Linked DNA regions of Danio rerio. The protein of the gene in region 1 interacts with the protein of each later gene in a pairwise test. Links are inferred from orthologs where the notes say so. Each region holds a gene or a part of one and is shown in the gene's direction. Other genes may lie near its edges. The genes, in order: top3b and spred2a.

The links.
Region 2: the proteins of top3b (region 1) and spred2a interact in binary tests that used the Homo sapiens proteins (3 or more experiments, as listed by UniProt). The link is inferred for Danio rerio from reciprocal best matches to the Homo sapiens genes TOP3B and SPRED2.

Annotation. Positions count from the first base shown.
Region 1 is NC_133180.1:13,917,903-13,921,730, reverse strand, and holds part of top3b (DNA topoisomerase 3-beta-1), read left to right. Parts: intron 1-486; coding exon 487-577; intron 578-3,125; coding exon 3,126-3,280; intron 3,281-3,828. UniProt on the Homo sapiens protein: Releases the supercoiling and torsional tension of DNA introduced during the DNA replication and transcription by transiently cleaving and rejoining one strand of the DNA duplex.
Region 2 is NC_133176.1:54,794,153-54,798,649, reverse strand, and holds the start of spred2a (sprouty-related, EVH1 domain-containing protein 2), read left to right. Parts: upstream 1-1,589; 5' UTR 1,590-1,920; coding exon 1,921-1,946; intron 1,947-4,497. UniProt on the Homo sapiens protein: Negatively regulates Ras signaling pathways and downstream activation of MAP kinases. Recruits and translocates NF1 to the cell membrane, thereby enabling NF1-dependent hydrolysis of active GTP-bound Ras to inactive GDP-bound Ras.

The DNA of each region.
Region 1 (3,828 bases):
GGTCTGAGCTCCTCCCCCAGAGAATCCGCAGTCTATAGCGATCACTGATTGGCTCCTGTACTAGAAGGCGGGGCTTCATTCGCCATACTGACGTTACACTTTTCCCTATTTAAGACTATACGAGTGACACGTCTTGTGTATCATATAGTCATTGGTGGTTTGATGGTTAAACATCACTTTGGAAATATTTAAAAAGGAATTAAATGAACTTTATTACTATTTATTTTTTTCTGTAATAATATTATTTATTTACTTATTTATTCAGTTTTTAATGATTCATTTAACGTGACAGTAATCATAAAGTTTTAAAGTAACTACAGGACAAAAACTGATTTGTTGATATCTTGTAAACACATGACTTGCATTGTTGAGGTATAGGTTTGCATATAAACTAGGTGAGCAGGTTATTTCAGTAAGCTGATTTTTAGTTATAAGTGTATTGTAAATGTGTTCAAGAATTGTAATTGTATGAATCTTTCCATGCAGGTTGACTCGGTGACTAAGAAAGAGAAAGCCAAGCAGAGACCTCTTGCACTGAACACAGTGGAGATGTTAAGAGTGGCCAGCTCTGCTTTGGGTGAGCAGCTTTTCTTCTGATATTTAAAGGTCCCGTAAAGTGCTTTAAAATGTGGATTTTTATTTGATGTTTGACATAATCTCAAAGCTGCTCCCCTTTATTAAAAGCAGCCAATAGTGTTTTGTTTTATCCTCGCTCCGCCAGTGAGAGTGGTTGAGCTCAGATGCATCAAGTGAAAACCAAATGAGAAGCTTTTTGAAGGGGGCAGGGGCATGTCTCATACTAGAGAGCATGTGATTGGTCAAGGTGTAAAGTATGAGGTGACCTGAATAAAACCGTTCACCCATTTAGAAAAAAGTGACAAACTGCAAGCTTTACATGTTTTTATCAGTTTTAGATCTTCTAAATGTGAATTTTGTCACTGTTTTGGAGCGCACTAGCTTATAGATATCCTAAAAACTAATAAAACTGATACTAACATCTAAAAAACTTTATTTTAATTTCATGAGACCTTTTAAGTCATTTCACAAATCAGAAAACCAAAAGAAATGGTGAAAAAATGCTTTATAAATACAGCTTAAAGGGTTATTTTCCACAAAAATGAAAGATTCTGCCTTTGTTTTCTCACCTTGATATTTCATCATGATATTTTTAAAATGTAATAATTTCTGCGTTTCTATTCCTCCATTGCAAGTCCATTGAAACATTAAAGGTCTCATGAAGTGCTTTGAACTGTGCCTTTTTTACTCATTCACATTTTACATTTACATTTAGTCATTTAGCAGATGCTTTTGCCCAAAGCGACTTACAATTGAGGAGGTATTCAGCGATTCAACAAGAGGCGGCAATACACACAAGTGCTAGTTATTCAAAGTCACTTGTTTGTGCTTAGAGAATTCAGTGCTAGAGTAGGAGTATTGCTATTGTTTTGGTTTAATTTACCAGGGTAAAGGTGCTCTCGGAAGAGATAGGTTTTTAATTGTCGTTTGAAGGTTACAAGTGTATCCGCAGTGGGAATGGGAAGATCATTCCACCAGCAGGGAACATTGAATGAAAATGTTTTGGAAAGTGACTTATAACCTCTCTGCCATGACATCACAAGGCAGTGCTCAGTGCCCAGCGCTCCCTGACAGGAGGCTCCTAGAGGAGATGTAGACTTTCAGGAGCAGGTGGAGGTAAGAGGGTGCAGCGCCAGTGGCTGTCCTGTAAGCAAGCATCAGTGATTTGATCCGAGCTTCAACCGGTAACCAATGCAGTGCAGCTTTGGACATAATCCCAACTGAAACATGAAGACTGGGCAGGACATATAACAACTCCTTTTTGAAAACAGCCAATAGCATTTTGTTATTATCACAGCTCTACCTGTAAGTGGTTGAGCTCATGCACATCAAATGAATATCAAACAAGAAGCCTCTTGAAAGGGGGGCGATGCATGTCAGATACTGGAGAGCATTTGATTGGTCAGAAGATTTGATGAGAAACTGAAGTATGAGCTGACAAACAAATTGATCCATTTAGTGGAGATGACACTGCAAGCTTTGGATTTTTATATTTTCTAAATATGAATTTCATCACTGCTTTGCAGCACACTAGCTTGTAGATAACTTTAAAACAAACATACTGATACTAACATCTAAAAACAACCTTATTTTAATTTTGGGACTTTATAAAGGTATTAAAAAATCCATATGAATTTGAAGGTTGTATCCTAGTTTTCAGAGGAAACACAATATCTGTGTATTGTCAGTGTTGTAAATTAATGAATCACAAATACTCAAATGACTGTAAAACAGTAGTTTTTCCTCCTAAACTGTAATTTACTGAGAGGTTTTAAAAATGTGTATTTTTACTTTTCCCTTGAGTAAATTTTTTTGTGCTGTATCTGTATTTTTACTTCAGTTTTTTCCTTCAAACTGCAGTCACTACTTTATTTTTTCTTGTCTATGGGGATTGGCTGTGTAGAAATATCAGTCCTGTGATTCCTATCCAATCAAATGGCACATAGAAAGTAACATCAAACTGTGCAGCAAACTGTGTGGAATCATAAAAAGTGTCCAAGATGTCTAAAATCTTTACATGCAATAACACCGAGACTGTTTAGACTGCATGTCACTGATGATAAAGATAAAGGATGTTTATGATATGATGACTGAAATCTCCAAATGGCCTTAAACAATAACTAAATACACTACAGAATGTTACGTTAACACATCGGTGCACAAACTGCATGTAAATGCATCAGCTTTTCACAGCGTAATACTCACTACTCTTGAGTACTTCTGAAAGGTCTACTTTTTACTCCTACTTTGAGTAATATTTACAACAGATACTTTTATTCTACTTGCACTACATTTTTGGGCGAGCAATGGTACTTTTACTCGAGTATGACTTTTCAGTACTCTTTCCCCCACTGTATATGGTGAACCGATTTAATTTAAGCTGATCAATCATACTTGCTTGAAGCTTGAGAACAACCTTTGTTGGTTCTTACTGAAACTCTAATGTGGTTTTTATTATTACTCGTGCTGCTCAATATTTATTGTGGTACAGTTTTTAAAAGGGCATTTCATTGCTAATGAATATACAATTTGGTCTGTGTATTTTTTAGGAATGGGTCCCCAGCATACCATGCAGATAGCTGAGCGTCTCTACACACAGGGTTACATCAGCTACCCTCGCACAGAGACCACACATTATCCTGAAAACTTCGACCTGAAGGGCACCCTCAAACAGCAGGCCAACAGCACCTTCTGGGGTGAAACGGTGAGCGATATTGTCTTTTAATTATTTTTTTATTTTCTTTATACCCATTGTCTTGTGTCAGTTAAAAACTCATGGTGTAAATAAGGGATTGGTTTTAGTGTTGCACAATATATAGGTGGTGATATTGGTTTTGGCTGCTTAGTGCTATCAGTGGAGATTAAATAACAAATGAAAATAAGAAAATACATGATTGGCTGATAAATTCTGGATAATTTCAGCCAGTTTGCTGCTGGTTGGTGTCTTTCATGTTTTCCTGTTGCATGCAGATGTACACTCTAAAAGAGTTTTACACATTAAGAGGACTTTATAATTGCAATTTGTAAATGATTTTGGGAACAGAAAGATGCATCCTTGCCATTTTCTTGTTTTTATCCCTCTATTTAGTATTATAATTTAAATAAACTAAAATGAGTTAATGTTATTGTATTTTTTTAAATAATATTATTGTATTATCTGTTTGTTTTTTAAGTATAGTTTATTTATTGTTTTATATGACATTTTTTATTACATTATATCTTTTATAATATTGTTTACATGTTTATTATATT
Region 2 (4,497 bases), on another chromosome or scaffold:
CTGCACAGTAAAAAAACAACAACAACCGAGCTAACCAAAAGAGAACATTTAGCTGATATTAAGTTATGGCTATCATCTACTTTTAAAAAATGCAATATATATATATATTCCAGGCCCGGCTGGGAGTTGGTATTTTTTTGTGGAGTTTGCATGTTCTTCCCATGTTTCCTCAAGGTGCTCCGGTTTCCCCCACAATCCAAAGACATGCGCTATAGGTGAATTAAATGAGTCAAATTGGCCATAGTGAATGAGTGTGTGAATGTGAGAGTGTATTGATGAAGTTTTTTTTCCTCGCTACTGTCACCACTGCATGGCTTGCTTGGTATGTGTATTCTTGTCCATAAACTTGAAATTACTGAACCGACAGGAGCCTGATAAACATGCTCACATTTTAAGGAAATTTCAAACAACTTTTAGAGCTTTTTGCATCTGAAAACTTCACACATATATATATATATATATATATATATATATATATATATATATATATATATATATATATATATATAAAAGCGTTAACAACAAAACATAACAATCATGACTTTTGAACGCTCTCATATTTAAAACAAGTAACATTTGAAAAACATTAATTGAACATTAAATTGTGACGTTTTGTTAGAAAACAAACTATAAACACTCAATTTCATGCAAATATTTCAAGAATACCAGATATAAAACATAAGTCAGCGTTCTATTCCCAGGAAAGAAAATCATGGTTTGTTGCTATAAAGTCTACAGTTCCTCTAAAAATGGTAATTCTGTCATCATTTAGTCAGTTGACTGGTACAAAGAAGTTACAGTTTTTTTATTCTGTTGAACACAAAAGAAGAAATTTTGAAGAATGTTGGAAACCAATATCCGCGGACCTCCATAGTATTTGTTTTCCCTATACTATAGATGCCAAAGGTTACCACCTTCAAAATATTAAAGGTTACCATCTTCAAAATATCTTCCATTATGAAACTCAATCTCGTTTGGAACAAGTCAAGGGTGGGTAAATGATGAAAGAATTTTCATTTTAAGACCATGCAGCTAGAAACCAGCTGCCATACTTTAAGGGATAGTTCACCCAAAAATATATCATTCTGTCATCATTAACTCACCCTTCATTGTTCCAAACGAGTTTCTTTCTTCTGTTGAACATTTGTCATGTCCCTTTGGAAGCCAGTGGCTACCAGTTTTCAGCTTTCTTCAAAGTATCTTCCTTTGCACTGAACAGAAGACACTCACAAAGCTTCGCAAACACTTGAAGGAGAGTAAATAATAAGTCAATTGTGATATGTGTGAGAAGTATCCCTTTAAACTGGATTTCCAGTAGTGAGAACACATACACGTTAAACTTTGTTAACTTTAGGAAGGCTTTTGGCAAGTTTTGCGTTTGGAAAAACAATAAAAACCATTGCTGGACAAAGGTAAGCGAAGGCACTAGGTGGCAGGACGTTGGCACAGCCGGTCACACCGGAGATCCCTCAGTCCAAAACGGGCTGCAGTCGTTCCAATGTGACGTAATTGCTTCCGCAACCCCCCTCCCCCTCCCCTCCCCGCGCCCCCCCACCTCCAGTGTCGGCGGCGCTCGCCTGCTGCTGACTACACAATCCAACATGGAGTAAAGAGAGATGGGGCTCCTCTCCGAGACCAGCGCGCAGTCTTCAGCCGAAAACACATCGATACAGCCGTCGGGATGTTGCATAACGCACGGATTTCGGGCTCTTCGGGCAGATGCATTGCAAAGCGCGACGGATAAAGAGCGGTGCGCGGAGGAAGAACGAAAATAAGGATCGCTGAAGCGGATTTGGGGGAAACTCGTTGATGCACTGGACTTTAAAAAAGGCGAGGTGGAAAATCGAGACGACATGAAGCCCGAACGCCGCGCGCCCGCGCTGGGATATTATTTTTATTGTAGGTGAAACGAGGGGGAAAATGACTGAGGAATCGCACCCAGACGAGTGAGTATCCACTTTTTTTCTTTTTTTTTTTGGCGAAAACGACGCATGTGGACACAAATGGAAATCTCCTTGTGTGTCCAAGAATGTGTCGCCAGGCTGAAGCAGGGGTCAGTCAAAAGCAGGGAATTCGTGCATGCGAGACACCGGGGATGTTATTACTAAGAAACAATGCAGTGTCAAAGAGATTTGAGTGCTGGGCCCCTGCTGCAGGGCTCTGGTCTCAAACCGAGAAGGGGGGGAAGGAGGAGGGGCTCGAGCGGAAACATTTTGTGGAGGGATCCTTTACTGAATACCTTCTATCTTATCGACTTTAAAGACGAACTATCGATTCGAGGAAGCAAACAGGCGACTGTTAAGTTTATATACACGCAATGCCAGAGCAACGAGCTCGTGTGCGCTCTTAAAAGTGCCGTTCTTGGTGCCTTTCTTTGTGGTGGTCTGACATGCTATATCCGCCATTTCTTTTTCGTGAATCGCTCTCATTTGCATACTGTCCTTCATTCATAAAAATACAGACGGGGGCGCGCACAGCAGAGAGAGAGAGCGCCTCAGAGCTTTGCCTATATTAAAACAGGCCCTACACGGCACATATAGCTCTATATGCAATCATAAACGCTGAATTTAATCAGTCAGCTTCTTACATTAGCAAGAAACAAAAGCGAAAACACTTTATGACGAGTTGTATGCGCGTCCCGCACTGTATCGGTTGTCACAACAGTAACACATTCGCCAAACTCTGAGGTATATTTTAAGGTTTTGTCACATTCTTCAGGATTACATACACACTCGTATCTTTTGCTCATGGTTGTTTGACTCGACAAGCCGATCAAAGTCTTGCTAATAGCATTAGGGTCGAGTTAAACGGCTCGTTAACTTAGTGAGCTCTTTGGGGGGGGGGGCTTAAAATTAACTTCTGTAACACACACTTAACCTGTATTAACGAGGGGACGCTTATTAGATCTAATTTCGCAATCTGTTATGAATAAAATCATCAAATGATTGATGATTAAAAGATTGGATTAATCTGTAATAGCAGTGTAATAAGAGTTGGTCAATCTTTTTCCGGACAAATATATGGTAATATTTATTTTTATTTTGCAACTAATGTAACTTTTGCATGTTCTCAAATCTTCTTTCCATATTAGTCCACTAAATCATAAACTTTTCTTAAATAATGTCAAATAGGTAACAGCCTCAAGGTAGCCTGTAATTTATCCTGCGGTGGCAACACCATTTAAAATGTGGACATGAAATAATTTGAACTATTGAGGTAAAGTTGTTTTTTTATTCGCACATTAGTTCAGTCACATCTTGTGACACGCTCCCTATATTATTTACCACGCTACTTTGCCTATTCACTCTGAAATCACATGCAAGTATGACTTAAAGACAATAGCCTATTAGCACAATTTAATTGAACAATGTTGTACTTTGGTAGTCATTGGCTGCTAATATGATTTCCTTATTTAAAATTTGCAAAGAATACTTTTCTGAAAGTATATTATTAAGGAGAAAGTCTGAGTGTGCGAATATAAAACCAACTTTACCTCATTTTTGTGCTTTATGTTTTGATGATAAAATAGGCCTGCTTTTAAAAGAAACTACTTGATAAATGGACAAAATAATATATAATTTGTTTACAAACACATCAAAATCTTTTTCTTTTTCTTATACAACTGGATACCATCTTAAATACACTTTTTACACTTTCAACATAATTGTGACTAGGCTGTGCAATATATCGTTTTAGCATCGATATTGCAACGTGGATCTGTAATGTGGAGACAGGATTTTAGTTGACCATGTACACACTCCGGAAATTTTTTTTAAAAAAACTTGTTTTATATTGGTAACTCAAAAGTACCTACAATTTGTTTAAAAGGAACACTTTTGTGCTTTTTAGGTGCTAAAATGTGCCCTTGAGGTGTTAATATAGACCTTTTGGGTACAAATTTGTACCTTTTGAAAAGATGTCACCCCAGTGATAGGCTACAAATTGTGGAGTCATTTTATTTTGACCATAAAAACGTGAAAATTCATCAGTTGTGCATGTTTAAATTCACTTAAAATGCTTACACAATCTGTTGAATTAACAAAATATGTTTTTATGTATATAATGAAGACTACAACTTTGTTGTACATTTCATTATTTTATTTCTGTTCCTGAATACTGTTAGACTCCTTTATTTATATCGTTGCTTAACTGTATTTATCCATGTTGGTAATTATCTTCTGCAGATGCACTTCCCATTCAATATAAATGCATGAATTATTTAGAACTGGAGCTATTTGGTAAAATATTGCAATATAAATCAGAAAATAAAAATATTGCAATATCGTGCAGCCCTATTTGTGATGTAGGCCTAATAATGTTTAATAGTAATGTTTAATAATGATTTAATAAATCATAGAAATTTGACAGCCACTTGTTGCACTGGTAACCTTTTGGGCTTTTTAAGTTTTTAAATTCAGATTTACATCAGGCCTAATAATAATAATAATAATAATAATAATAATAATAATAATAATAATAATAATAATCTGACTGAAC